Linked DNA regions of Stegostoma tigrinum. The protein of the gene in region 1 purifies or fractionates together with the protein of each later gene. This does not show direct contact. Links are inferred from orthologs where the notes say so. Each region holds a gene or a part of one and is shown in the gene's direction. Other genes may lie near its edges. The genes, in order: stk25b, cttnbp2nlb, cttnbp2 and proline and serine-rich protein 2-like.

Region 1 (7,008 bases):
TTTAATTTGGTTGCTAATCATGTGAGCCAAGGTCTTTTCTTCTATGAATTCTTTCTTGTAAGCTTCCCATGGTTTTCTGTCTTTTTCCTCACAAAAAGAGAGATGGAGACAGAGAGAGACAGACATAGACAGACAGGCAGACAGTAAGAGAGAGAGAAGCAGAGAATATATTTGTCTGCAGTGTCTGGATACTTTTGACTCAAAACATTCTTCGCAACATTCTGTCTTGAATTCGTCCTCTTTTTACTTCCAAAAAGTAACATTGTGTTGCACACCTTACTTGTTTTCAGTCATAGAAGTCCAATGTCCAATTCAGTTTCGAGTCCTAAAAGTGACAGAGCAAGTAAACACTTTGCAAACATAAAGATAATTTCCAACAAAAGCAGAAATTGCTGGAAAGCCTCAGCAGGTCTGGCAGCATGCAAGAAGAAATCAGAGTTAATGTTTCGGGTCCAGTGACCCTTCCTCAGAACTGATGGCAGTTTGGCAAAGCATTTCAGAGACAGTGGGAACTGCAGATGCTGGAGAATCTGAGATAACAAGGTGTAGAGTTGGATGAACACATCAGGCCAAGGAGCATCAGAGGAGCAGGAAGCTGACGTTTCAGGCCTAGACCTATGATGCTGCTTGGCCTGCTGTGTTCATCCGGCTCTACACCTTGTTATCTCGTAGCTTGGAAAAGGGTGGTTGTATGCAGAAAGTAGCCTGGGAGAATGAATAGGTATTAATGGACAATTAGTGGCTAATGATGGGTCGTGTGTAATAGCAGACTATCAGCTAACAAGGCCTGGTATGTGGGGGTTGGGGTAAGGACTTGGGAAAGGTGGTTCAAGCCCTAAAATTGTTGAACTCGATATTGAGTCCAGTAGGCTGTTGAAATCCCAGGCAGAAAAATTAGGTTTTTTTTTCCAGACTGCCAACACGGTTTGTGAAGCAAGACTATTTCAACAAATGTAACAGAAATCTTTGAAAGATTCACTAAGATGATGCATAGAGAAGGATTGATTGATGTTGCATATGTGGATTTTTAGAAGGTTTTTGATAATGTTCCACGCAATAGTTTATTAGTTAAGATTAAGATGTGTAGATTTGCAGAATGGAACAAAAACTGTTTAGGCATTGAGGTAAACAATTGGTATGAAAGAGTTATTCTCAGATTGGTGGGAAGATGTTGAGGCTCCAAATACTACTTAATTGGGACAGGGGGAGGTTAGAGACAAGACAGGAAGTCAGGACTGGACTAAAGAACTGGATCAGAAATCATTCGGAGGTCCAGCTTTCCACCCCTCCTGTATATTCACGGTGCTTGTAAGATTTATGGGTTTTGCTTGAGATAATTGGCAAAATGTAAAATGAGTTAATTAGCTTTTTAAAAAGGGAGGCATTTACAAGGATACTGGTGGAAGAGCTTTTAAAGTGAGTATTTTTGCCACTCATCATCTGATCCACTTTGCGACCATTCTGCCAGTTTAGTGCCTGTTATTAGCAGTTTGGTGAAGGCTGTGGTGTATAATGGGTAAAATACTCTTTCTAAAGCCAACACTGCAAAAATGAGTAATTAAAAATGAAGCTGAATGAAAGGCTAGAATTTTAAAGAATGGTCATGTTATGTTTTCCTTTGTGATTTTTAAAAACAAATACATGAAACAAAATTTTAAAAATAGAGTTTCAAAATTGTTAAATAAAGCATTTCAACTGACTTTTAATGTCTAAGTTAATGTTTCTATTTCTCAGTTAGCGTCAGATACATTTTTCCATGCTTTGTGAACAAAATGTTTAACAAAACCAAAATCATGAAAACTCCCTGAGAGCATAGAGATTCTTAAATATGACAGGAAGCCTCGTTTACATCTTTGGCATATCATTATTACCAGATAATGCTGTCGCTTCGAAATCATCACAATCATGATGGTATGAGAGGGAAATCAGTTGGCAGCAGGGTCAGACCTACCCCTTCACAATTTAACCCGTGAAGTTCAGGTAGTATTCTGGTAAAGCAACACTGGACTCGCTCAAATACAGCAAACTTAGTTTTAACTGCCATCTTACCACTGCACTCTTGATAAACTGGCATTAAAAAACCCTCAAATAACATGATTTACCAAGATGTCTGAATATTTATGCTTTAAATAAGGTATAACAGTGATGTGTATTCCCCCCACATTACATTTCTATCGCATATTGTGTGGTTTTGCTTGATTTTAGGAGATGTGTTGATGTTTTTACAATGATGTTTTCAGGGATGTAATGTCTCGAAGTTTCTTTGGCCAGAGTTTACTGTGGTTATGCGTATCTCTTGATTACCTGGAATCTTTGAATAACCTGGTCCCATAGGTGCTGGTTAATTAAAAGTTTGCTGTACCTCTACATGCGCAGCACCCAAAAATGTTCACAGTATGTCCTGCCTGATTTGGATCTCTGTTTGTTCCCTTTGATCCCTCTGAAGTTAGTATTTCTTCTGGGTTGCCTACTTCTGAAAGATCTTAACAGGGCGGATGTGGGAATGAAATTTCCTCTCAAAGATGAGTCCAGAACTAGGGTGCACCGATTTAAAATTAGACGTTTCTCTGTTGGGACAGAAATGAGGGGAATTTTTTTTCTCTCTCAGAGAGTTGTGAAATTTTGAAACTCTGCCTCAGATGATGGTGGATTCTGCGCCATTAAATATTTATAAGGCAGAGGTCAATGGATTCTTGATGAACAAGGAAATGAGGGGGTATTGGGAGTAGGTGGGGATGTGGAATTCGAAACACAAATAAATCAGCCATGATTTTATTTAATGGAGGAGCAGGGACCAAATGGTCTACTTGAGTAAGATACTCCATTGATCTCAGCTGGAGTATTGCGGACAGTTCTGGGTGCTATTATTAGTTGGAAGGATGTAAATGCATAAAAGAAGTTTACAAGAATGGTTCTATGGATGAAGAACCCCTGTTGTGAGGATAGATTGAAGAGTTTGGGACTCCTTGGAGAGATCTGATATAGGTTCTCAAAATCATGTGCAGGCTAGCTAGGATAGATGGCCAGCAGCTGTTTCCACACAGAAAAGAATGAGGAAGAGAGGACATAGATTTAAAGTGATCTGTAAAAGTGAGCAAAAATATTTTGGTGCAGCCAGTAGTCACAGTATGGAATGCAGTGCCAGGAAGTGTGCTGGAGACAAGTATATGGGGAAATTGCACGACTTTGGCATTAGGTAATGAAGCTCATTTAATGAGCCAGTGCATGCAGTCACGATGGACCGAATGGCCTCCTTCTGTTCTATGATCCTGCTCCTATTTCCTACATCTAGCCATTTTTTTCCACAAAGCTCTGAGTACTGCCCTTGCTCTGTTTCTTGACTTTGTAAGATTTGGGTGTAAAGTGGTGTCTGAGAACGCTGCCTTTTTCCTAGGATGGTGGCGGCGAGCACGAGGGGGCATAGCTTTAAACTGAGGGGTGAAAGATATAGGACAGATGTCAGAGGTAGTTTCTTTACTCAGAGAGTAGTAAGGGTATGGAACGCTTTGCCTGCAACGGTAGTAGATTCGCCAACTTTAGGTACATTTAAGTCATCATTGGACAAGCATATGGACGTACATGGAATAGTGTAGGTTAGATGGGCTTGAGATCGGTATGACAGGTCGGCACAACGACGAGGGCCGAAGGGCCTGTACTGTGCTGTAATGGTCTATGTTCTATGTTCTAATGCGGGGTTAGAAGAAGGTGCTCTGCAATTGCAAGTTGTTGTTGTTGGTCTGCTGCTGAGATTGCCGTGTGTCATTGCGGGGCGGGGCTCTGTCAGGGTGATTGACAGGTGGACACTGCGGCTGTGCGGAGTGACGCCAGCCCAGCCGGCCTGAAGGCTCAGGCCGGAACCCCGGCGCGACGCGGGGCATGCCGGGGCTTGTAGTGCCCACCGTGCTGCGCGGGGCGGTGGCGGCCGATTCCAGGACTCCTGGTCCCGGCGTGCGCCGCGGCACGTCCGCGCCTGCGCGCTGTGGGCGGGCAGCAGGCGATCTGGAGACCCAAACAGTGAGGGGCTGATCGGTGTTTGCGGAGGATCCAGGCGGCCTTTGGCGGCGGTAATGTCCCCTTGGGCCTGCCTTTAGAGGTTGTACTGTAACCCACACCGCTGGAGACCTCTAAGCACTGTCTGACCGACTCCCATGGAAATGGCTCATATTCGAGACTTCAGTATCCAGGTAGGAGCAGGGGCAGCTGCTGGCATTCTGTAGAATGTGGCTGGCCCTGGGCTTTTCTCTTTCTCTCTCTCTCTCCTTCCCACCCTCTGATCTAAAATATCATAGGTGTCTTTGTTTCCCCCATTTCTATCATGTCAATGAAATGCCCACGACCAAAACGTCAATTCCATGTATTTTGTTGATCTTGGGGGTAGGTGTTCTGGGTGGACTGACCCTGTCGTCCGCCTCAAAGGTGTCTCTGATTGGCATGTGAGTTGGTGTTGACTGTGTGACATCAAGATGCCCCAGTGAAACCCACACTGATGGGCATCCTCGGGGTTGAGTATGTATCTGTGCCAGTTGGAGTCACGCTCCACACAAAGGAGGATGCTCACGGTGGTTGGAGGACGACCCTCCCGGTCACAGGCTATTTCTGTACAGGTTCCACAGGGTAGTGACCCAACCAGCTTCAGCTGCTTTGCCTGTGACCTTCACTTCATCACAAAAAGCCAGAAATGGGGACGTTTGCGTAGTGACCAGCACTATTTACAACTCCTCAGGTACTGAAATGGCCCAAATGCAGCCAGGCCTCGACAACGTTTTGGCTGAGATTAGTAAGTGGCAAGTAATATATGTGCTACATATCCCAAACAATGACATTAAGCAACAATATAACCACCTTCTCATTGTATCAAGTGCCACTGTTGAATCCCCAATATTGACATAAGTTATAAACTCAATTTTTTTTTACATGGAAGCCTGTCTTTTCCATATGTCTGGCCCACAACAGATATTTCGATATTTACCAGTGATCAAAAATGCAACAAGACTGGCCGTGTAAGTAAGGTGGCAACAAAGCCAGTCAGACGTTGAGTGTTGTTAGCAAATGACTTTTTTTTTAAACACCACCTTCCATCTACAAGGCTCAAACTTGACATCATTCTGGAAAAAGCAGCCTGCAGATTGTCACTCTATCTATAATCTTAGACATACACTCCCTGTATTCTTCGTGCACAGTGGCAACAATGTATAACCGTTTAGAAGATGCATTGTACCAACTTGCAAAGGACTGCTTTCAAACCAGGAACCTTCATTGCAGCTGTTTCAAAACCCTAAGCTCCCCTTCCTAACAGCATTGTGGGTATCTCTGCATCTCTGCATGAGCAGTAGCGCTTCAAGAGGACGGCTCAACATCATTTTCTCAAGGGCAATTGACGCTGCCCTTTTCAAACAACCATGAGTTATTAAAATCAAAAGTGCCCCTTCACTCCCCTGCACAAAAATAGATTGCTGTCTTGTAGAGTGGCATAGTCCCACAAGGTATTAGCAATTGGAAAACCTTCAACGTTTTTTGAAATGGCCAATATGTGCCAAATCAACATGTTTATTCTAATACTGTAACAAGAACTAGTGTGTTTTTAATGAGCACCTCATAAAGCTAATTTGTTAAAAGGCAATAGATTCATCGTGAACCATGGGAAAGGTGGACAACATGCTTTGGAGAAATGCACATGTGTCAGCAGTTTGCAACAAAATATTTCTTGTGTCACAGTGTGATGATTAGATCTTCTTTGGGTGAGGAATCACAAAACAGTGGTTAGGTGATTTAATCTTTTTAAAATCCGGCACCTTGTCTGATGTAGTTTGCACTGACCTTTGAAACAGTCGGATACAGTTACTGGCATCAGTACCTAATCTTCATGGATGGAAAGAGATGACATTAATGGCAGTCGCTTGTAATTGGGATAGCCTAATTAAACATCTAGATATCTTTTTCAGGATAAGGTGCATCAAAGGACATTGCTTTTGAATATTTCCCTTTGCTTATTGTTTGCTTCCTTTCAGCGCAGTCATTTCCATTACAGATTGCTGCATTAATGCAGATTTTCTAGCAATGCTCTTTCAGCCACATGCATGAATTTTATTAGACAATGCCTTGCCTGTATTGTGGGTAAATGAACTTGTACAAATTTCTTCACAAATACTTAGCCTCATTCAATGGTAAATTTTGCAGTTCTATCCTGGGGCCAGTGCTGTAAATCCTGGACAGAACTTATCAGACCCACCACATCCTGATACAACATTGAATTTTCTATCCAGCTGTCACGCACCAATATTTTGACATAGCCAGTGTGGTTGCCCAGAATTTTGACTTGCTCAGGGCGTAGGAGACCTGCCCTTGCTTGTTCTCTTGGAGCTGCTTTTCTTTGTACGGCTTCCTTCCGCTGGCTTGTAACAGTCAAATTGGCCACTGTGACAATTGTTCCTAGACAACAATGCTGGTGTTTCCATGGTGCTGAGGTTTGGCATTTTCATCCGTCTTTGATGCTGTTTGGAGATGACCAATTAGCAGTAACCGAAGAATTGAAACAAATAACGATCAAGAAGGGACTTGCACATTCTGCCTTTAATCCTGGCGTTTTTACCAGTGAAACCTCTAAGAAAGGCTAGTGTTCACATATGTTGCGAGCTGCACTCACATGAGTTTTGAAATCCTGCAGCCAGAATCTAAGTTTCTAACATGTTTTCTATTTTCTGATCAGAAATGCAATTAACCACTTTGGATACGCAATTGGCCACTTATAGCTAGTGGACAGCACTGCTTCAGAATACAAATAAAAACAGGATCAGAACAGCAGCTGAGAATCACTTTTCCTTTCTAAGAACTCTTCAAAGTTGCCTTCCTTTTTAAATGATATTTTGTGCTTTTGGTTGTAAAGAGCTGATGCCCTTTAATCAAGCTACTCAGCTGATTGAGAGTTTAGGTTATAATAATCAAAAGTGTGTTGTTTAGTTTTCCTTTTTACAGGATCAGAAGTCACTCGACACCAGGTTATAATCTAAC
Region 2 (7,238 bases), on another chromosome or scaffold:
TAGCAAGCCAAAGCAGCTATTAGGACCAGAAACCAAAATGCTGCTCAAAACAGATATATTTTAAATGAGGGCCTGAAAGCAGAAAAATCAGACACAGAGGTGGAGGGAAGGAATTCTGGATGTTAATGCTTTGGCAATCAAAGGCTGGCTGCCAGTGATGGAATGCTTAAAATCAGGGATGAATGAACAAGAGGCCAGAAAGGTTTTTGATACAATGCCACACCAATAGAGTTATGAGGAAAGTAGGTAATGGAATATAAGGGGCAACAGCAGTAGCAGATACAAAATTGGCTGATAGGAAACAGGGTAGTGGATAATGTATATTCTTTGGGCTAGATAAAGGCTGGCAGCATAGCTGCCCAGCTGAAAGTTTTGGGACCCTTGCTTTTCCCCGATTTTACATAAAATCAAGCAAAATGTGCAAGCGACAATTTCAACATTCGGGGACAAAACAAATCTTGGTGAAATTGAAATCCAGAAAAGAACGCCTGAACTTCAAGAGGACATTCGCAAACGGTGGAGTGGGCAGACAGGCAGCAGATGAAGCTCAATGCGGAAAGGTGTGAAGTAATGCAGTCAGTTCAACTAACATGGACAGACAGTACGAAATAAAGGAACACTTCTGAAGTGTGCGCAGGAGCAAATGGACACGTGCCTAGATCACTAAAGAAGTAGGACAGATAGAGAGTGGTAAATAAAGCCCACATTATTCTTGACTTCATACATAGGAGCACAAAGTACAAAAACATGAAGGCTATGATGAATATTTGTAAGACACTGGTTAGGCGTTAGCTGGCATACTATATTGTGTAGTTCTGAACGTTACATGATTGAAAGGATGTGAATGCATTGGAGAAGTGGGGAAGAAATTTAAGAACAAAGACAAAGACAAAGACAAAGTTGCTGGAAAAGCTCAGCAGGTCTGGCAGCATCTGTGAAGGATAAAACAGAGGTATTGTTTCGGGTCCAGTGACCCAAAGTTGAGGAAGGGTCACCAGACCCGACACGTTAACTCTGTTTTCTCCTTCACTGATGCTGCCAGACCTGCTGAGCCTTTCCAGCAACTTTGTTTTTGTCTTGATTTACAAGATCTGCAGTTCTTTTGGTTTTTATTAAGAATGGTTCTCAAGATGAAATACTCAGTCATGAGAAAAGACTGGAAACATGGGAACTCTTTTCATTGGGGAGAATTGGTAAAAGTATTAAAATTCATGAGAGATCTGGAAAGGCAGATTGGGAAATGACACTCCCACTCAAGAACCAGATGGTTCAGTTTTAAAGTGTTTCACAAAAGATAAACATGAGGTGAGGAAAATCCTTTTCACACAGCGAGTAGTTTAGGTCTGGAGTGTACTGTCTGGAAATGTGGTAGAGGCAGATTCAATTGAGACATTCAAGAAGGGCATTAGATGATTATTTAAATAGGAACAATGAGTCGGGTTATGTCGAAAAGGTGAGGCGTTGGCATAAAGTTAAAACGCTTAGATAGCCAGAGTTACAGGATGGGGCAAATGACAACCTTCTGCACAATAACAATTATGTGATTCACAATGAGACAAAGAGTATTGAACAGACATCGAATCAGGATTTAACCTCAAACAAACCAGGACGAGGCCATTTGCCCCTTGAAGCCTGCTCCCCCATTTGACAACATCACAGATGATCTGATTATATCTGTAATTCCACATTTCCACTACTCCCGATGGATCTGCCATCATGGTGTCCGTTTTGCCTGCAGCACGGTATTTTTTTACCTGATGAGTCAATGCTTACATAAAACAAAGAAAAGCAAATCCTGGAGATCTGAAACAGACAGAAGCAGAAGTTTCCTGTAGACACTCATGCTGCCAAACCTGCCATGAAGATAAAGCAGATTAACTACGAACCCAGCAGGCCCAGCAGCATCTCAGGAGCACAAAAGCTGATGTTTCGGGCCTAGACCCTTCATCAGAGAGGGGGATGGGGTGAGGTTTCTGGAATAAATAGGGAGAGAGGGGGAGGTGGACCGAAGATGGAGAGAAAAGAAGATAGGTGGAGAGGAGAGTATAGGTGGGGAGGTAGGGAGGGGATAGGTCAGTCCAGGGAAGACGGACAGGTCAAGGAGGTGGGATGAGGTTACTAAGTAGGGGATGGAAGTGCGGCTTGGGGTGGGAGGAAGGGATGGGTGAGAGGAAGAACAGGTTAGGGGGGCAGAGACAGGTTGGACTGGTTTTCGGATGCAGTGGGTGGAGGGGAAGACCAGTCCCCCTCTACTGACACCCTCATCCACCTAGCCGAACCCTGGGCCACCTCCAGCACATCCCTCACCTTCCTGGACCTCTCAGTCTCCATCTCAGGCAACCAGCTTGTAACTGATGTCCATTTTAAGCCCACCAACTCCCACAGCTATCTAGAATACACCTCCTCCCATCCACCCTCCTGCAAAAATTCCATCCCCTATTCCCAATTCCTCCACCGCATCTGCTCCCACGATGAGGCATTCCACTCCCGCACATCCCAGATGTCCAAGTTCTACAAGGACCGCAACTTTCCCCCCCACAGTGGTCGAGAAAGCCCTTGACCGCGTCTCCAGCATTTCCCGCAACACATCCCACACACCCTGCACCCGCCACAACCACCCTAAGAGGATCCCCCTCGTTCTCACACACCACCACACCAACCTCCGGATACAACGCATCATCCTCTGACACTTCCGCCATCTACAATCCGACCCCACCACCCAAGACATTTTTCCATCCCCACCCTTGTCTGTTTTCCGGAGAGACCACTCTCTCCGTGACTCCCTTGTTCGCTCCACACTGCCCTCCAACCCCACCACACCCGGCACCTTCCCCTGCAACCGCAGGAAATGCTACACTTGCCCCCACACCTCCTCCCTCACCCCTATCCCAGGCCCCAAGATGGCATTCCACATTAAGCAGAGGTTCACCTGCACATCTGCCAATGTGGTATACTGCATCCACTGTACCCGGTGTGGCTTCCTCTACATTGGGGAAACCAAGCATTCGCAATAAACAATATCCCAGTCGCAAACCATTTCCACTCCCCCTCCCATTCTCTAGATGACATGTCCATCATGGGCCTCCTGCAGTGCCATAATGATGCCACCTGAGGGTTGCAGGAACAGCAACTCATATTCCGCTTGGGAACCCTGCAGCCCAATGGTATCAATGTGGACTTCACTAGTTTCAAAATCTCCCCTTCCCTCACCGCATCCCAAAACCAGCCCAGCTCTTCCCCTCCACCCACTGCATCCCAAAACCAGTCCAACCTGTCTCTGCCCCCCCCTAACCTGTTCTTTCTCTCACCCATCCCTTCATCCAGCCACACATTTTATTACCTTGGATTCTCCAGCATCTGCAGTTCCCATTATCACTAATGTTCTGGACACATGGGTTCATGGCAGATGATGAAATTTGAATGCAATGGGGGGGGGGGGGGGGGGGAGGAAAATCTGAATTAATAATGAATCCGTTGTCAATGGTCAGGAAAAAAAACGCGTCCAGTTCACGTGTAGTAGGAGCTGCCGATGCTGGGGAACCTGAGACAACAAGGTGTAGGGCTGGATGAACAGCATCAGAGGAGTAGGAAAGCTGACGTTTCGGGTCTAAACCCTTCTTCAGAAAGATGGGCATTAAATACTGACCTGGCCAGCGACGCCCTGAGCTTGTGGATAAATAGTAGATAAATGTAAACAGTTGTTAATGCACGTTGCAAATAAAGTTCACACTTTCCTATGTCCTTCTCAATCATGCAAAAAACAAAATACTTAAATTTACAACCACATACATACCAAGTATAAGAAAAGCGCTACACTTCGTCTCAATTCAACTTGTTGCAAACTTCAGAAGAGAACACGGCTTCTGTTTGCTGGATGAGGCCCCGCCCCTTCCCTGGCGTTTAACCTGCCAATCCCGTCAGGGGGCGGAGCTCGGGTGAAACAAAGGAAGCCTCCGGTGGAGGCGGAGTCACGACATAATCACATGCACAGACCTCGGCAGAAGGCGGGGCCCGCGGGCGGAACATAATGCGCATGCGTACTCCGGTGGGCGTTCGGCCGTGTCACAGCTGCGCATGTGAGATGTTTGACTGACGTGTGTTGTGGCAGAAAGCCACGCCCCTCCAGTCCGCGGCGGAAAGACGGGTCGCATAGTTACGCATGCGTAACTATTGACTGACTTTTGTGTCGGGCGAATGAGCCACGCTAGTAGAGTGGGAGGGGGTTCGGACACACCGTCACGCATGTGTAGAATCTGATTAACGGCGGTAAACGCGGAATGGGGCGGAGTAAGGGCGAGCACCGCCCATGTATCTGGAGACGGATCTCGCATGTGCGCATGCGTAGAGATTGGGACAAGGGGAAACAGTTAGCAACCAAAAGAACTGCGGATGCTTAAATCAGGAACAAAAACAGAAGTTTTCGGAAAAGCTCAGAAGGTCAGGCAGCATCTGTGAGGAAAAACAATCAGAGTTAACAATTTCGGGTCCGGCAGCCTTTCTTCAGAACCGAACCACTTCTTGGGCGGAGCTCACACTCTGCCCGCCCCCTTCCGGAAAGGGTTGTGGGGAAACCACCGCGCACGCGCAAACCTTCGCAGGCCGACGGTCGGGCGGGAACGTGCGGGGCGTGGCTCGGCCTTAACCCGCCCCCAGACCTCATATGATTGGCTCGCTAGTGCAGCAATCCGAGCCACCTATTGGACAGAACGGCTGTCAGACAACCTCGATGACGTCCCGAGGTCGAAAGAGGCGGGCGGAAAAAAAAGTGAGAGAGAAAAAAAGATCTGAGATTTTCCACCGGCTTCGGAGAGCAAAGGGGCATTAAATGTAAGTGTTTTTTTAAAAAACTGCCTTAGCTCCATAGTTCTCTTCGTGATTATGCTATGTGTTTGATGATTTTTGCTTCTGAGTCTTTTTTTCTCTCACGATTTTATTTTTTCTTTTTATCCCCTCAATTTTATTCTAATTTTTCCCACTGTTTTTGTTTCTCTTTTATTCCTTTTTCTTTTCCCAGTCACTTCAGGGCTTCTTTTCATGCAGAGCAACAAAATGGATGGATTTGCCTCAGACAGTCTTATAATGTTGTGTACCTTCCTTTCCGATTTGCACTTTGTAAATCCACTGCCTCAACAATTAGACAAAGATTAAAATGTTAATTTTATCTGCGCTGGAAAAAGATTAAAAAGCTTGAGGACCAAGTGCTTTTTCTTTAATGAAGCAAAGAAATCATAATTTCTGCTCTAGTATGTTCCTGAACATTATTTAATTTGTGTTTGGTGCAGTTACACCATTAGGGAATCAGCACTGATATTTTTTCCCACTGTTTTAAGAAGCCAAAATGACTAAAACCACAGCTGGAGTTATAAGGCTTCATTCCAGCAGTTATTTAGTAAATCTTGTTCTTGTTCCACTAGAAATAAAGCAAAGCCTGAGGACAGAATCAATCCCTGAAAGGTTTGTTTGAGCTCAGGCAGGGAAGTTCACTCCCCATCTCCCATTGTTGAGGGGAATGAGCTAACTGAGCATTTACCTCATTGCCATTTCCGGGACCTGATGGTGTGTGAATCAATGACTCTTTTTTTCACCAGTACCTAAACAATGAGACAGAGACTTAGCCTATAATTCAAGTTGAAGTTTGCAGCACTTACTTTCAGAGAAGATGTTGAACCAATGTCCCATCATCTTGGGTCAACATTGAAGACCCAATGTGTACTATTTGGGGGAAAAAAAGTGCTGAGGAGTTCTGCACAATAACCTGGATCAATATTTATGACTTAGCCAAACTGCTGAGCAACATCAGTTAGCGATTGTTGCCTGTGGGAGCTTTCTGTGTGCAAAATGGCTGTTCTGTTTTCTGCACTACATCTATACTTCAAAAGTTGACTATAATTTACATTGAGAAGTCTTGAGCCCATGAATAGTATTATGTAAAAGATAAGTTTTAACACTGTTATACTCAAAAGGTACTTAATTCCATGTGAGATAGTTTTGGATCAAGTATGAAAAATGATCTATAAATTTGAGTTCCTTGATTTGAATTTGGAAGAACAAGTTGTATTTTATATTTACCGTAGAATTTTAGAGTTCCCATTGTTTTAATAAAGCAAAACTAATTCCAAATAAATTAAAGAAAACAGCTCTGTTTTGCAGCTATGTCTCTGCTTGGGGCAAACTATTTTAATGGAAGTAACAAGTGAAATGACCAGTTTTTGTACTGCATTACAGGTATTTTAGAGGGTAGTTATCGAAAGAAAATGTATATTCTCTTGTTTTAAGAGCAAATTATTTCCATTTCTTAAATAATTCACTATTCCATTTGTGATTATATTTCAAAATTCGTTCATACTCTGAATCATTGACTCATTTCTTCTATTTTTTTCTAATTGACTAAGGTCTGTTCTCCATACAATTATTCACATGGGCTTATTTGTTGTGTTATTGCAAGTAGTGCTTTGCTGTCATTGTATAAATAGATGGCTATTATCACACTACTATTATAACAAGCCTATGAATTTGCATTTAAAGTACGATCAGTTGTTGAAAGTCTAGCCATATGTAGTAATTTTTGAAGTCAAAGTTATGATTAACAGTCTTTTTGTTCTATTCAATACACTTTAAGCTTTTTGTGGTAATAGTTCTCTCTAATCAGTGGGCACTAATTGTGTAGTTGAATCCTACTCTCCAGAAAGAGGCCACTAAGCCTGACAATGAGAGCGATTTGAATTAATTCATCCTGTCAGTCACCCTCTGTTTATAACTGTCTCACTGTTGGTAACTGCCTCTCTACTGACATTTCAGCTGTCCAGTAGCTAGTTTCGAAACCTGTTCCAGCTATATTTCTCTTCTGCAAACTCTCAAATGACACCGTGGTGACTGTGGCAAAGGTACACACTCCTTAATCTCCATGTAGTCTCTTTCTTTCGGCGTAAATATTCTGTTTTCCCAGCCACTTTAATTTCTGATGAAGGGTGAGTAGACGCAAAATGACAGTGTTTTTCACTCTACAGATCATCATTCATGCTGCCAAGTCCACTGAATTTCTCCAGCACTTTGTTTTTGTTTCAGATCTCCAGCATCTGCAGTTCTTTACTTTATCCCTCATCCTTCTCTGTCTGCGGTTTTTGGAATGGTTGGTCATGTCGCACTCCTCCAATTTGACTCCATTGTTGTACAGGTAGATGCAGCTGCACTAACTTGCCTGATTCCATTTCGATCTGTCTAATTAAATTGCTTGAATT
Region 3 (6,886 bases), on another chromosome or scaffold:
CTCCGAATCCCCCTCGTCAGAGGAGCTCTTATAGCCCCCCTGTAGCTGCCTCTTCCCGCCTGATGGTTGCGGTTTCTGGGCCCATCGACGCACCTTCCGCCTCGCTTTCCGGACTGTTGTCCACTCCCCTGGGTCGCCTGTCGCCGCCTCCATCGACTCCGGGTTGTCGGGGGGGAGCGGAGCCTGCAGGGGTGCTTTGCCGGCCTCGGGCCCACCCTGCGGGGCTGGGCCCACCCTGCGCGGCCTGGCCCTCCCGCTCATTAGTGGGGTCCTTGCTGGGCCCTGGTGCCTTCCTCTCCTCCGGGGGCGCTGGCCCCGCATTGCCCCTGCCAGCAACCTGGGCATAGGTGGTCCCCCGCTGCCGGCATGCCCTATAGAGGTGGCCCGCTTCCCCGCAAAGGTTGCAGCTTTTCTCTTGTGGGCAATCCTTTGCAAGGTGTCCCTCCTCCCTGCAGATGGTGGCTTTGCAGTCGGCCGCCACATGACCTGACCTACCACAGGCATGGCAGACTTTAGGTTGCCATGCATAGGTCAGGTAGCCCTTGCTCCCACCGATCGCGAAGCTGGACGGTGGGTGTACGACATTCCCGTCCGCACCCATCCTCAGCATCACCTTGACCTGCCTCTTACTCGTCCAGATGCCAAAGGGGTCCATGATGTCAGTTAGGTCCCCTTCCACCTTCACGTACCTTCCGAGGAAGGTCAGGACATCAACTGCTGGCACATGCGGGTTGTACATATGTACAGTCACCATACGGCTCCTCTGCGCTGGCATCACAAACAGCGGGACAGCAGGCAATACAGAGAGGGGGCCCTCACCTCCTTTCTCCTTGAAAACCTCCAGGAAGTGCTCGCAAAGCTTGGCACTCCTGAAGGTCACGTCGTATAAACCTCCTCCGGGGAAATCCTGCAGGCAGTAAATGTCCGCAGCAGCGAACCCGCAACAGTCCAACAGGACCCTCTTCACGAAGAAGGTGCAGTCCACAGGTGCACCTTCATCCACCTTCTTTACGGAAACACGGTTGGCGTTCCGGACCCCCTGACCTGGGGCACGAGCACTTGCCGCAGCCATCGTTGCAGGTTGGCTGCTCCCCTGAACCAGCGTTAGGCCGAAGCCAGCATTAAGATCCACTGGTTGCAAGGGTGCACAGCCAACCCGACGTCCTCCTTCCACCTCCAAGACAGCACTCTCCTCCTCTCAGTCCACAAGAGAGTGGTTCTTTATTTTGTTCCAGATATAAGCTGGTTCACTGAGCTTGAAGGTTTGTTCCCAGATGTTTTGTCACCATTCTAGGTAACATCATCTGTGAGCCTCCCACAAAGCACTAGTGTTATGTCCCACTTTCTATTTACCTGTTTAGGTTTCCTTGGGTTGCTGATGTCATTTCCTGCATTGGTGATGTCATTTACTGTTCCTTTTCTCAGAGGATGGTAGATTGGCTCCAAATCAACATGTTTGTTGATGGAGTTCCTGTTGGAATGCCATGCTTCTAGGAATTCTCGTGCGTGTCTCTGTTTGGCTTGTCCTAGGATGGATGTGTTGTCCCACTCAAAGTGGTGACCTTCCTCATCTGTATGTAAGGATACGAGTGATAGTGGGTCATGTCGTTTTGTGGCTAGTTGATGTTCATGTATCCTGGTGGCTAGCTTTCTGCCTGTTTGTCCAAATGTAGTGTTTGTCACAGTTCTTGCAAGGTATTTTTTTTTCGACATAACACCAGCGCTTCGTCGGAGGCTCACTGATGATGTCACCTAGAATGGTGACGAAATGTCTGAAAACTAACCTTTCAGCTCAGCGAGCAAACTCACATCCAGATAAATATAGCCTATTTTCTAAAGAATTAGAAGGTTAAGGATATCTGACTGAAGTCTTCAAGATATTAACGGGAAAAGACAAAGTAAACAAAGATAAACTATTTCCACTAGTTTGACATTGTAGAACTAGGGGGCACAGTTTGGGAATTACAGCCAGACCATTCAAGAGAGATTTTGGAGGCACTTCTATATACAAAGGGTCATGTTTGGAGCTCTCTTCTGGAAATGGCAATGGATGCAGGGTTAGTTGTTAATTTTAAGTCCAAGATTGATAGTTTTTTGTTCAGCAAAAGGCAGGAATACGGAGTTAGGTCACAGATCGGCCATGCTCTCACTGAATAGTGGAAGAATGGCCTACTGCTGTTCCTTTGTCAGAGATGTGGGATTTGGATTATATAGATAATCTGGGGACCTGACATCGTTTGTTATAAACAATTGCTCATCCCTTAAATTAAAGTAACTACATCATGTCATAGATACCCTACATTCCAAAAGGGACTGGAGGTTGGTGTGCAAAGAGGCAGTTTTACTGTTCCTGCATCTATAAGACATTCTTACAAAAGCACAGATATTTGACTTTTCTTCCTCAAGGTGCCCTCCAATTGTTCGGTTTCAGTTTCCACGTTTCTTAGAATTAAGCAATAAACTAAGCTTTGTGCAAGATTGCAGATTATTTCCTTAAAAAAAAGCTCATGAAATTGAAAGTAATTCCCATTCTTTGATCACTTGTGTACAAATAATGGCATTGAGATGGAAAGTGGCAAAGTTGTTCTTCGGAGTTTCAATTTATGCTTTTTGTGAAGAATGAAGATGATGCTGCGTGAGAAGTGACAGGAGATTTGCTTCAAGCAATTTTTTTCTGAATTATCTCCGGATTTTACCACATCCTATTTAACAGTAAGAAATCAAAATTATGATGTCGCCAAACTGCCTACTGTTTAGTAATTCCATTTTTAAAATTAATTTGATTAGAATTAATCCTAGTGCATATGCATTTGAAGTTTTTGCTGTATATAGATTATTTTAGCCCAGTTTGTGGTTACAGCATTTCCATCTTAATTTAATCAGGATATTTTTTCCAGCAATTTAGTAGGAAAGTGAATACTTTCCACTGACATTTAGCTACTTGTTTTCTGAAATGAACATTATTTTGTTCCACAAGGTTTAAACATTCTTCAGGTTCTTTGATGCTCTCCTTTAGTATTATACTCCAAATGGACACAAGATTTGCATTTTAATATGCAAAAAGTAACATATATTTTACCTGAGATAATATAGAATAGCTAAAAGCTATAAAAACTACTTTTGAGTTATCCTGCATGTGAGATTTCAGAAACTAAGTATTAGAAGCTCCATTGGATCCAGAAGATTCACACAGGAGATCTGTCTCTTTTTGCCTGGCATCAATCCACGCAGCTTCCTGCATGATGTGGGTCTTCATCCACTAAGGGTAAATTACTGATGGTGATGGGAGGCCCACTTATTGGCCTCAATAGGCCCAAAGACAGGGTAGACCGTCTGACACCTCCACATACCCGACATATCGCCCAGGTTAGGTGAAACAAGTAGGTCTTCCACCTTGAATCCTGCCAGCAAGGAAGATTGAAATCCAGCTAATTAACTCTGCTTTCTCTTAGAAATTCTGCCTGATCTGGTGACAGTAGTTCCAAAATTTTCTATTCACATTACAGACTGACAAAATTGAGTGTTTTGCTTTGGCTTTACAATCAACAGAAGTAAAAATTTTCCCCAAAAGTCTGCCTGACAGATTGATGCAGTTAATTACACTTACCTTCATTTTGACTAACGGCAAAGACCAAACAAATAAATTAAAAAAGCTTGAAAAAAATGGCAGTCTACTTTTTTCGACACCCGTTATCTGGTTCCCAATGCAACACAGGAGTTTCAAATTTATTAGAGAAAGGCAGGGACTTCAGATAAAGCGACGAATATTTTAACATTTCTCCTATCTCGTTATCAACCAACCAGCTTCCAAGTCACGATATCTTGTCAAGCAGGGTCTCCGTGACTCCTGTGCTGTTCTTACGATGATAGCAGTTATACAGATCAGTTACACCTCACTGTGAAATGGCTGCAGAAGCATTTTGCCACAGTCCGAGGTCTTGATTTTGGTTTGGAATATGTGAGCGTTCATGGACAGTGAAACTTCCGTGCCCGTGAGGCTTTGTTTATAAATTTTCTACACTAACTATGCAATGTTACGAGAAATGGGTCCATGTCAAAATTACCAGGCAAACGTGAGACTTGTTCACCGGGAGGTATTCAGATGAAAAATCATCAGCAAGAACAGCGGTGCTTCACACTGCACTGACCCCAGCCTTCAGAAGAGTTACCCTTCATGTGTCATTTAGTTTCGCCTCTCCAGTAATAAGTTGCTGGTTTGGTAGAGCCTCTGTGTGGCTATTTCATTGTCAGTTTGATGTTCAGCTCGGAATCTCTGGGTTTGGTTTATGCAGTCTCTCTTTTTCTCCATTGGTTGTACAGCCTCTCTCCAGGTTTGGTTTATGCAATCTCTCTTTTTCTCTCCTGGTTTTGTTTGTGCAATGTCTCTCTGCTTTGATTTGTACAGTCTCTCTCTCCTGGTTTAGTTTGTGCTGTTTCTCTTTGTAGATTTGATTTATGCAATCTCTCTATTGGTTTGGTTTGTACAGTCTCTTTCTGTCTGTAGATTTGGTTTGGTTTGTGCAATCTCTCTCTCTGCTTAGGTCTGTACAGTCTCTCCCTCCCTCTCTCCAGTTTGCTTTGTGCTGTTTCTTTTATAGGTTTGATTTATGCAGACTGTGTCTTTCTCTCGACAGGTTTCGTTTCTGCAGTTTCTCTCTCGGTTGCTGTGAATGGGCTCTGGTTTTTCTTTGCTGGTGGTCACTGCCCCCTGTCTGGTTGCTGGCGCTGAGTCTGTCTGTCTGTATTCCCCCCTCCCTCCCACCCCCTCACAAGGCAAAATGGCGACTGAGAGCGAGTTGAGGCCGGACAGCGGCGACCCCTCGTCTGAGGAACAAGCCCCCACTGTCTGCCAGGTAAAGTCCAGTGAGTGACCCGTACCGCGGAGTCAGCTTTATCAACGGCAATGTGTATTAAATAAATGAAGAAAAGCCCGCTCCTTTGTGAGAGGTTGAGTCTGGAATGTAGCCGCATAAACTCAGTGGATACAATGTATCCGTTCCCTGTGGAAGTTGATGCGGGAAGCGGCCACACGCTAAGAGGGGTTCAGCCTGGAAAATGTAACCGTGCAGTTCTTCTACCTCTTCATAAATTCCGTTCCCGTCGCTTTTCTTTTTCGTAACGTGTTTGAAAGCACGATTTGATTTGGGCTTTAGAATCGATTTACGTTTGGCGTTTTGCTCACACCGTTGCCGAGATTCTCATTTTCTTTGCTGGCTTTATAGTGGAACGTACTACATTCCGAAATTGAAATTCGATTGAAGGCATTTTTTTTCTGTTTGAAAACGAAAACCCACCCACACACCAAGGTTTTTGCCGGCCCGCAGCACTTTGTTTGCCCTGAACAAAACCCCGAGGGTTGCCTTCCTGCAGCTGAAATCTGAGCCCGTGTCTATATCATTTATCTTACTCAGTTCAATAAGGCAAAACTCGATTGTATCGAAGATATTATTTGTCTAAACTACATTTCCTTTCATATTATATCGCAATTGCTGTTTAATTGTAATTGATGAGAACATTCGGCTACCTTAAATCGTAAGAGCTGTAGGAGAATCGACTAGCCACCTTAAGGAATTGAGGGTTTTTTTTGTATTATCGTGTTTTATACAGTACGTAGAACAGTTGCACATTTGTTTATGGTCTTTTGATTTTTGTTTCAGTCAAACATTGTTAGAGGCGTAAATTATGTTTTGTGTTGTCATTCAGCTTAATGCTTAATACATTGGTGTGAGTCCTTATCCACTTAAATTGGAAGTAAATTTGTTACTGTTCCAGAAGTCTGAATTTGACCTGGAGAGTCTGAGTAAAACCGAGCTGCTGACTTTCCTAAGTATCCTTGAAGGAGAATTGGAAGCCAGAGATCTGGTGATCGAAACGTTAAGGGTAAGTGATAGACTTTCTTTTCTTAACTGTTTCTATTTCACCCTCCATTTATAGGATGGTGCAAATGTGTGATGCACACATTTCACACAGGCTTTCATTTCACTAAAGAACCAGATGCTGTTGGAATTTTCCAGCTACAAGTATTCAACTTGGCAAATAATTTGATAGGTATTAGCAATTTCAAAGACATCCTGTCTTACACTTACACTGTAAACGAATGCTGTCATCATTAGAGTTTGCAGCATTTCTGGTTGCTTTGCTGTACAGGTTGATGTCAGGCTTAAATACTTCATGAACGATTTGCCATTAAGCTGCCCTCCTACGAATTAGAAGTGCTGCACTGATGTGAACGAAGGAAAGCTCAAGGCTGTGGGTGGAAATGAATTATTTAAATTATTAGAACCAGTTGACAAAAGCTGTTAAAACTGCTGGGACGTTTGGTTTCATAAGTAGGGAGACAGTGTAAAATTGAAGTGGTAATGATGAGCCATTGGTTGGATTGCCATTAGAATGTTACTTCTGTTTTTGGAATCTAAATAAGGAAAAATGTCAAGATTATGGAATGGGTACAAAAGGGATTTATTAAAGTGATACCATTTTGTGGGAGATTTGTTACAAGAAGATAGTCACAGATTGTGATATTTTTTTTCTTAATGGTATATCTGTGAAGGTTAAGAGGCAACTTACTGGTGTTCCAAAGTGGGTTTAGGTAACTGTGTTTAAAAAATATCCAGATTGGTGACACACAAAGTTTAGTGCTTAAGTTTAAGATGCACACCAAAATGGAAATGATGGTTAGGTGATTTTCGTAGCTTGTGAAGGAACTCCAGTGTGTTATGCTTTCTATTGGGATGCTCTGTATTTATTAAAAAAAACTCTTGTTAGCATAATACTTTTAGTTTATGTTATACAATGAAAGCACAGCTGTGTAAGAAGCCACCATGACAATATTCGTGACCCACATTAAGCTTAAACTCCAAATGTAAGATAAATATAGTTGTCCTAT
Region 4 (6,854 bases), on another chromosome or scaffold:
CTCTGAGGAAGGCCCTTTCCATATCCTCCACCAACCTCTGTCTGCTGCCAGCAGAAACTGCAGGCCAGCGATGGTAAGGCTTGGATATGCTTCTTTAGGAGTGCTACAGATGCCTATTGAGACTGAGCAAAGAAGCAACATGGAAGAGAAAAGAAGGAAAGTTTGAATGGTTCCACAACAGTGAGTACACCCCAACCTGTACTCACTGTTGTAGCAGCTACAAATCCTGGAGAGGACTCTTGAGGTCACAGCAGACTCTCAACCAACGAAAACAATTTTCCAAAAATCTCTGTCTGTGAAGAAATGCTGAGAGGGAGAGCTAGGCCATGGAGGTGATGTGAGGACTCCTAATGGTCACTATGTCGCCTTAATGGATGCAGTATCTGTCATTACGGTGAGCATCTTTGGATTGCAGGCTGATAGGTGCCACCTGTAATGGTACAGTTACCAATTTTTATAGATGCACCATAGACAGCATTCTATCCAGATGCGTCACAGCATAGTATGGCAACTGCTCTTCCCAAGACCACAAGAAATTGCAGAGAGTCATGACCACAGCCCAGCCCATCACACAAACCAGCCTTCCTTCCATTCCCTTCTATACTCCCCGCTGCTTTGGAAAAGCAATCAACATAATCAACGACCCCTGCCACCTCAGTTATATTCTCTTCAATCCTCTTCCATTAGGCAGAAGATATAAAAGTTTGAGTAAGTGCACGAACAGATTCAAGAACAGCTTCTTCCCTGCTGTTATCAGACTTTTGAATGGATCTCTCAAATATTAATTCTGATCTCTCTCTCTCTCTCTCTCTCTCTCTCTCTCTCCCTGCACCTTCTCTGTGGCTGTGACACTGTATTCTGCACTCTGTCCTGCTACCCTGATGCACTCTGTATGGTACGATCAGCCTGTATAGCACATAAAACAACACTCTTCACTGTATCTCAGTACGTGAGAATAATAAAGCAATCAATGAATCAACTAATTCAGTGCTAACCCTCACTACTATGGAAAGAGCAATCAATGTGTCTGCAGTTCCACCTCAAGCCGGTTACAGTACTTAGTGACTAGCCTCTTCTGTGAGGCAGATGCAGCATCATCTACCCTCTGATATGGCCAGGTGAGAGTGTTCAGGTTAGGTATCATTCTCAACCGCATTCAATGCCCCCTTACAAACTTACATTTCTCCTCAGAGGCATGGAGCACAGTAGAATTCCTGAATTGATTTCCTATCCTCAGCTTTCAATTTATTCTGCGCTGTATTAAGTGAGTCTGTCAATTTTCACCAAGTTTGATTTTTAAAATACATTCACGTGGGTCTGGAGTCACATGTAGGCCAGATCAAGTAAGGATGGCAGTTTCCTTCCCTACAGGGCATTAGTGAATCAGATGGGGGTTTTCCTGACAATCAGCAGTGATTTTATGGTCATTATCCGACTCCTAATTCCAGATTTTTCCTTAAAATTCAAATTCCACCATCTACCATTCAAACCCAGGTCTCCGGGATATTTCCTGGGTCCCTGGATTAACAATCCAGTGATAACACCACTAGCCAGCGTAGGGATTGTAATGAGGTCAGCCAGGAGAACCTCATAGAATCTGAGTTCCCTGATTGGGGCAATTAATCTGGTTCAATCAGGGAGCCATGGCGGTGTGCCTGCATAGATCCCAGATTGATACAGTATGCAACATCAAGCTCCTTTGCTGCAACAACATTGATACGGGGAAAGTAGAGATAAACCAATGCAGGGAAAGGTTTGCAACAATATGCCAACCCTGCATTCAATAAACTTCAAGTTTTGATTGATCTTTGGGTTTGGTGAGATATTTGGAAGAATCAAACTTCTGGAGATTAGGAGACTGAGTTACTGTCTGTCCGTGTTACTGAGTACCAAGGATAGAGCTACAACCAAGAGAGATAAACTCTTTTAGGGGGCTTAATGTCATAACTGCTCCATTGCAAGGAAGTCAAGCTGACCAGTAACATAGCTGTGCACATTTCATGCCAATACAAAATATGAAATTCACCTTCTTAGCAGTGACAGAAAGCCATTCAGCCCCATGACCCTGTTTCACGATTCATAGCTGACACGCATCTTAACTCTATCCCCCTATCTACGTGCAAAAATATATCGGTCAGATAAAAAAAATTTATCAAAGTTTTGAAATTTTCAATCCAGGTCACCCCTGAATTCTTTTGACACATTTACTTGAATGAATGTTCAACATTGTGTTTTGAGAAACAGTTTTTATTTAGTCATTATTAATTTTGGTTTCAAAAATTTCCAAAAAAATGGCCCATCATCACTCAATAGCTTTTCTAGAAGCGTCTGTCAGTGAAATTATTTACAGGATCTCTGCAGCATTGGAATGAGTAGAAATGGAAGTTCTTTCAAAACCAACTTCCACCGGACATCAGAACGGCAAATGGAATGTGCCTCCAAACTGCACAGTTTCTGGTCTCCGCTAAATGCACACAATGTTTAGCACGGGAGTTGATTTGAAAGTGCCCCAATACAGTATTTCACTGCTGAAGTGGTACAAGATGAGAGAAAGCTGTACAGACTAGGCAACAGGCATTTTACTGCAGCGGCCACACCTGCCATTATACCCCTTTGGTACTTGATGGTCTTGGCACACTTACTCCAACAATGACCTGGGACACGAGGTATACAATCCCCCAAGGTCAGCATGCAGCTATTTACAGACTGCTTCATAACAACATCTTTGCATTCAAATGGCACTGTTAAAGTGACAAAACCTCCCTAGGTGCTTCATGAGATCAACGTATAACACCAAGCCACATAAAGGAGGTTTTTGGAGTAGATGATCATAAATCTTGTCAAAGAAGTCAGTTTTCAACAGTATCTTAGCGGAATACAATTGAATTCAAAGAATAAAGTCTGGAATTGATGGCTAGTCTCATATTATTGATCACAACACCATCTTTGATTGTCTTAAAACCCCAACTGGTTCACTAATGTCTTGTAGGAAGTGAAATCTGCCTTCCTTAGCTGGTCTATGAATCTAAACCCACAGCATTGCAGTTGGCCTAAGGGGCAACGTTTTCCTGAGGGGGGTAGTGCGTGTTAGAATGAGCTGCCAGAGGAAGTGGTGGAGGCTGGTATGATTACAACATTTAAAAGGCATCTGGATGGGTACATTAATAGGAACGGCTTAGAGGGTTATGAGCCAAATGCTGGCATATGCGTTCTGATTTATGTAGCATATCTGGTCGGTCTGGACGAGTTGGACCAAAGGGTCTGTTTCAGTGTTGTATATTCCTATGACTCTCAACTGCCCTCTGAACTGGCCCCCAATCTAGTTACTCATGTGGGTTATTCTAAAACTAGGGTTACCGTTTAAAATAAGGGGTTACACAACTCAGACAGAAATGAGGCGAAATTTCTTATCTCTCAGGGGGTCATGAGTCTTTTGAGCTCGCTTCCTAGAAAGTTAGTGGAAGCAAGAGATCTTGATTTTTTTCTTAAAGCCGTGTTAGATTGATTCACGGTAAGCAGACAACTTAATGGGGGACAGGCCAGAACATAGAGTAACCAGATCAGCTGTGATCGCCGGAGCAGGCAGAATGGCCTCCTGTTCCTAAATGGCGTGTCCCACAGAAATAACAAAAAAAAGTTCCAAATATAAAAAACACCTAAATCCGGCGATCGGGACTGACTCCCAGAATATTCTGAATTCTGAGTGTCACCAGCTGACAATAGGTGGCAACATTTCAACTTTCCAACAAAACGGATAAATGATTTTTCTCAACCAGAAAAGAAAATCAGGTGAAATTGTGATCACATTGCGCCAAGGGAAGGGAAGGAAATAGTAGGAGACACAGCTACTCATCTGGGACCTCTCTGTCCACACTCTGACCCCGTGTAAGCTGCACGGAAAGTGTCCAACAATGATGTCATGTGTACATTTCAAAGTTGCATCCACATTTCCCAGTGTCCACCCTCAATCCAATTCACCCCCTTTCAAAGTAAAACACCAGTAAGATCGAGAGAATGCAAGCAGAAGCGTGGTTAAAACCCAGAAAAGAGATCTAGCACTGAGCTCGCCCTTTAATTCCAAAGACTTGTTCCCTCCTACTGATTGGAAACGATTGACAGGCTGGAGCGCTGTTGCGCTCGGGCAGTTGCCTAGAAATGTGAGTCTTTAAATCGAGAATTAATCAGTAACTCGCTGGCAGAGACTGTGAAGTCAAAGCTCGAAGAAGGAACTTGCAGGCGGGCGTTAGGATACAGCTGGCAGGCTGGAAAAGAAGATGAGGTTTTAGACATTGACGCTGATATAAACACCCAGTTTGTTACATCTGGGAGTCTCTGTCCGCTGCGGCGCCAACTCAGGTAAATCATTGGGGTTTCAATTTTCGTGTGTAACTGCTTCTTCAGATCTTTACTCCGACCTGACTCACCAGAGATTTCTGGCTAATGTTGTTTCGTGTCTTTCGGGGCAAATAGAACAAAGGTCCGTAATGCTGTTTTATTCTGTCTCTCTTAAGCGAGAGGAATTCAGATGGAATTTAAAGTGTGAGCTGATGCATTTTGAGAGGGCTAGCAAAGGAGGACAGACACATTGAAAGTACGGTGGATCAGAGGGGACCATGCTGTGCATGTTCACAGACCCTTGAAAGCAGTAGAACAGCTAGGTAAGGTGGTAAAGAAAGCGCTGGGATACTTGTCTTTGTTAGTCAAGGCATTGCATACTAGAGCAAGGTGGGTATGCTGGAGCTGTGCAGATATTATTTAGGTCATACCTGGAGTACTGTGTGCATTTCTGGTCACATACTATTAAAAAAGATGTAATAGCACTGGAGGGGGTACAGAAGGGATTCATTCACCAGGATGTTGTCTGGGCTGGAGCAATTCAGCTCTGAAGAGAGACTAAAATAGGCTCCACTTGTTTTTCATAGAGTGAAGGAAGCTGAGGGGGATCTGAATGAGGTGTAAAAAATTCCAAGAGGCATAGACATAGTAGATAGCAAGAAGCCTTTCCCCTCTGAAGAGGGGTCACTCGCTAAGTAACATGGATTTAGGGTAAGGAGCATTAAGTTTAAAGGTGATTTAAGGAAGTTTTTATTCATGGAATTGGAAATCTGAAACTCACTGCTGGATGATAGAGTGAGGAACTGTCACAACAATTAAAAACTTATTTAGATAATCATTTGAAACCCTGTAGCTTACTATGGGCCAAGAGCTGGGAGATGGGATGAAATTAGAAAGTGTTTAATGATTAGCATGGACATGATGGGCTGAAGGGACTCTTCCATGCTTAAAAACTGTACGACTATATGATCCTGGGCCACAAGGCATCCGTTTGCTGTGTGCATCCGTTTGCTGTGTGCTTACATTTTTGTTATAAAATACATGACTAAATATATTTACACATTAATCAGCACAGATCATGACAGATTCAGTCGGTCATAACTCTTTAATGCCAAATTGAGAAATTCCCTATTGTGGTGAATTAATGTGTAAATCATCAGAAAGAAAACTGTTTCAATGCAGACTAACATCATCTCAGAATGTCTAACGCGCTTTGGCCAGGGGAATACTTTTTGGAGTTTAATTGCTGCTATAATGTCAGTAGGACAGCAGCAGATTTTACAAACAGCAAGCTCCCTCAAACAGCAATACTGACCAGGTATTTCTGTTTCTGTATTGTTGATTGAGGGATGGATATTGACTGGAGTCCCAAGCATTATCTTATTGAAATTGTACTTTCGGAGCTCTTTTCTTCATATCCACCTGCGAGGATAATATATTTTTTTAAAGATTATACTCAGAGATATGGCAGCAGCTTTGAAATGTACAGGTGAGTTGGACATCATTCCTGGACACTTCCTTTGCAGTTTACACTGTGCTGACAGAATATGGAGAGAGGTCCCAGCGGACAGCTTTCCCTTATGTTTGCCTATACACCTTTCCCTTTCCAATGTCGTCTTCTTCCTCAGCATTACGGAATAATAATTTCATGTGTATTTTGTTGAAAAATCAGTTGCCAGAAAGTTGGAAGTCACCACTGCAGTCAGTTTCCAAGTGAAAGACAGTATCTCTGACAGTGCTGGGCTTCCTCAGTTCTTGCAGTGGAATTGCATGTTGATTTTTTCACTTGATACCTGAAATGGGACTTGAACCCACAACCTTCAGAAGATGTTCACCAACTGAGCAATAGCTAAACTTGAGATGTTAGCTTACTTTCTCTGCATGGTTGCTGCTGACCCACTGTGTTCTCCAGCATTTTTTTTTGTTTTCAGTGCAGATTCCAGCATCTGCAGTAAATAGCTCCAACAAAAGCATTTTAGCTTGGGTCGTGGATGGTATGCTCTTTCCTGGGTTAGGGGAGTTTGTGAAGCAAAGCAGGCCTGGAATTGGATTCAATCAGAGTACCCTATTAGTGCACCCATGTTGCTGTACCAATATCAACATTACCCTGTGTCATGATTGATATTGACGTGCTGAGTTGATTATCGATATAGTTATTTTGTATCACTGCAGCATTATGTACAAGTCAGTATTAGTCTGCATTTTTCTGTGTCAATGCATTCTGTTGACACAACTTTACCAAGCACTAGGGGACCTTACTGTACATTTGCTCAATCACGTAAAGGGGAATTACATTGATGTTCCGTATAATAGCACTTTGCCGGATTTGTTTGTGCACCTTTTTAAGGTGTGTCCAGTTAACACATCTTGTCATTTCTGAAGAAGGTTCTCAGCCCGAAACGTCAGCCTTTCCTGCTCCTCTAATGCTGCTTGGCCTGCTGTGTTCATCCAGTTCTACACCTTGTTATCTCCATAACACATCTTGTCAGAGTGTATTCAGCATACCTTAACAATGCTCC

Evidence for each region.
Region 2: the proteins of stk25b (region 1) and cttnbp2nlb purify together in Homo sapiens (affinity purification with mass spectrometry; 6 studies listed by BioGRID and IntAct, counting the BioPlex papers as one, with this or other methods). This does not show direct contact. The link is inferred for Stegostoma tigrinum from reciprocal best matches to the Homo sapiens genes STK25 and CTTNBP2NL.
Region 3: the proteins of stk25b (region 1) and cttnbp2 purify together in Homo sapiens (affinity purification with mass spectrometry; 3 studies listed by BioGRID and IntAct, with this or other methods). This does not show direct contact. The link is inferred for Stegostoma tigrinum from reciprocal best matches to the Homo sapiens genes STK25 and CTTNBP2.
Region 4: the proteins of stk25b (region 1) and proline and serine-rich protein 2-like purify together in Homo sapiens (affinity purification with mass spectrometry; 3 studies listed by BioGRID and IntAct, counting the BioPlex papers as one, with this or other methods). This does not show direct contact. The link is inferred for Stegostoma tigrinum from reciprocal best matches to the Homo sapiens genes STK25 and PROSER2.

What each region holds. Positions count from the first base shown.
Region 1 is NC_081367.1:6,947,144-6,954,151, reverse strand, and holds the start of stk25b (serine/threonine-protein kinase 25), read left to right. Parts: upstream 1-3,987; 5' UTR 3,988-4,148; coding exon 4,149-4,184; intron 4,185-7,008. UniProt on the Homo sapiens protein: Oxidant stress-activated serine/threonine kinase that may play a role in the response to environmental stress.
Region 2 is NC_081374.1:6,853,389-6,860,626, forward strand, and holds the start of cttnbp2nlb (CTTNBP2 N-terminal like b), read left to right. Parts: upstream 1-4,218; 5' UTR 4,219-4,827; intron 4,828-7,065; 5' UTR 7,066-7,136; coding exon 7,137-7,174; intron 7,175-7,238. UniProt on the Homo sapiens protein: Regulates lamellipodial actin dynamics in a CTTN-dependent manner. Associates with core striatin-interacting phosphatase and kinase (STRIPAK) complex to form CTTNBP2NL-STRIPAK complexes.
Region 3 is NC_081371.1:35,147,211-35,154,096, reverse strand, and holds the start of cttnbp2 (cortactin-binding protein 2), read left to right. Parts: upstream 1-3,875; 5' UTR 3,876-4,255; coding exon of another isoform or gene 4,256-4,331; intron 4,332-4,383; exon of another isoform or gene 4,384-4,634; 5' UTR 4,635-4,670; coding exon 4,671-4,853; intron 4,854-5,772; coding exon 5,773-5,880; intron 5,881-6,886. UniProt on the Homo sapiens protein: Regulates the dendritic spine distribution of CTTN/cortactin in hippocampal neurons, and thus controls dendritic spinogenesis and dendritic spine maintenance.
Region 4 is NC_081378.1:5,838,345-5,845,198, reverse strand, and holds the start of proline and serine-rich protein 2-like, read left to right. Parts: upstream 1-3,834; 5' UTR 3,835-4,356; intron 4,357-6,854.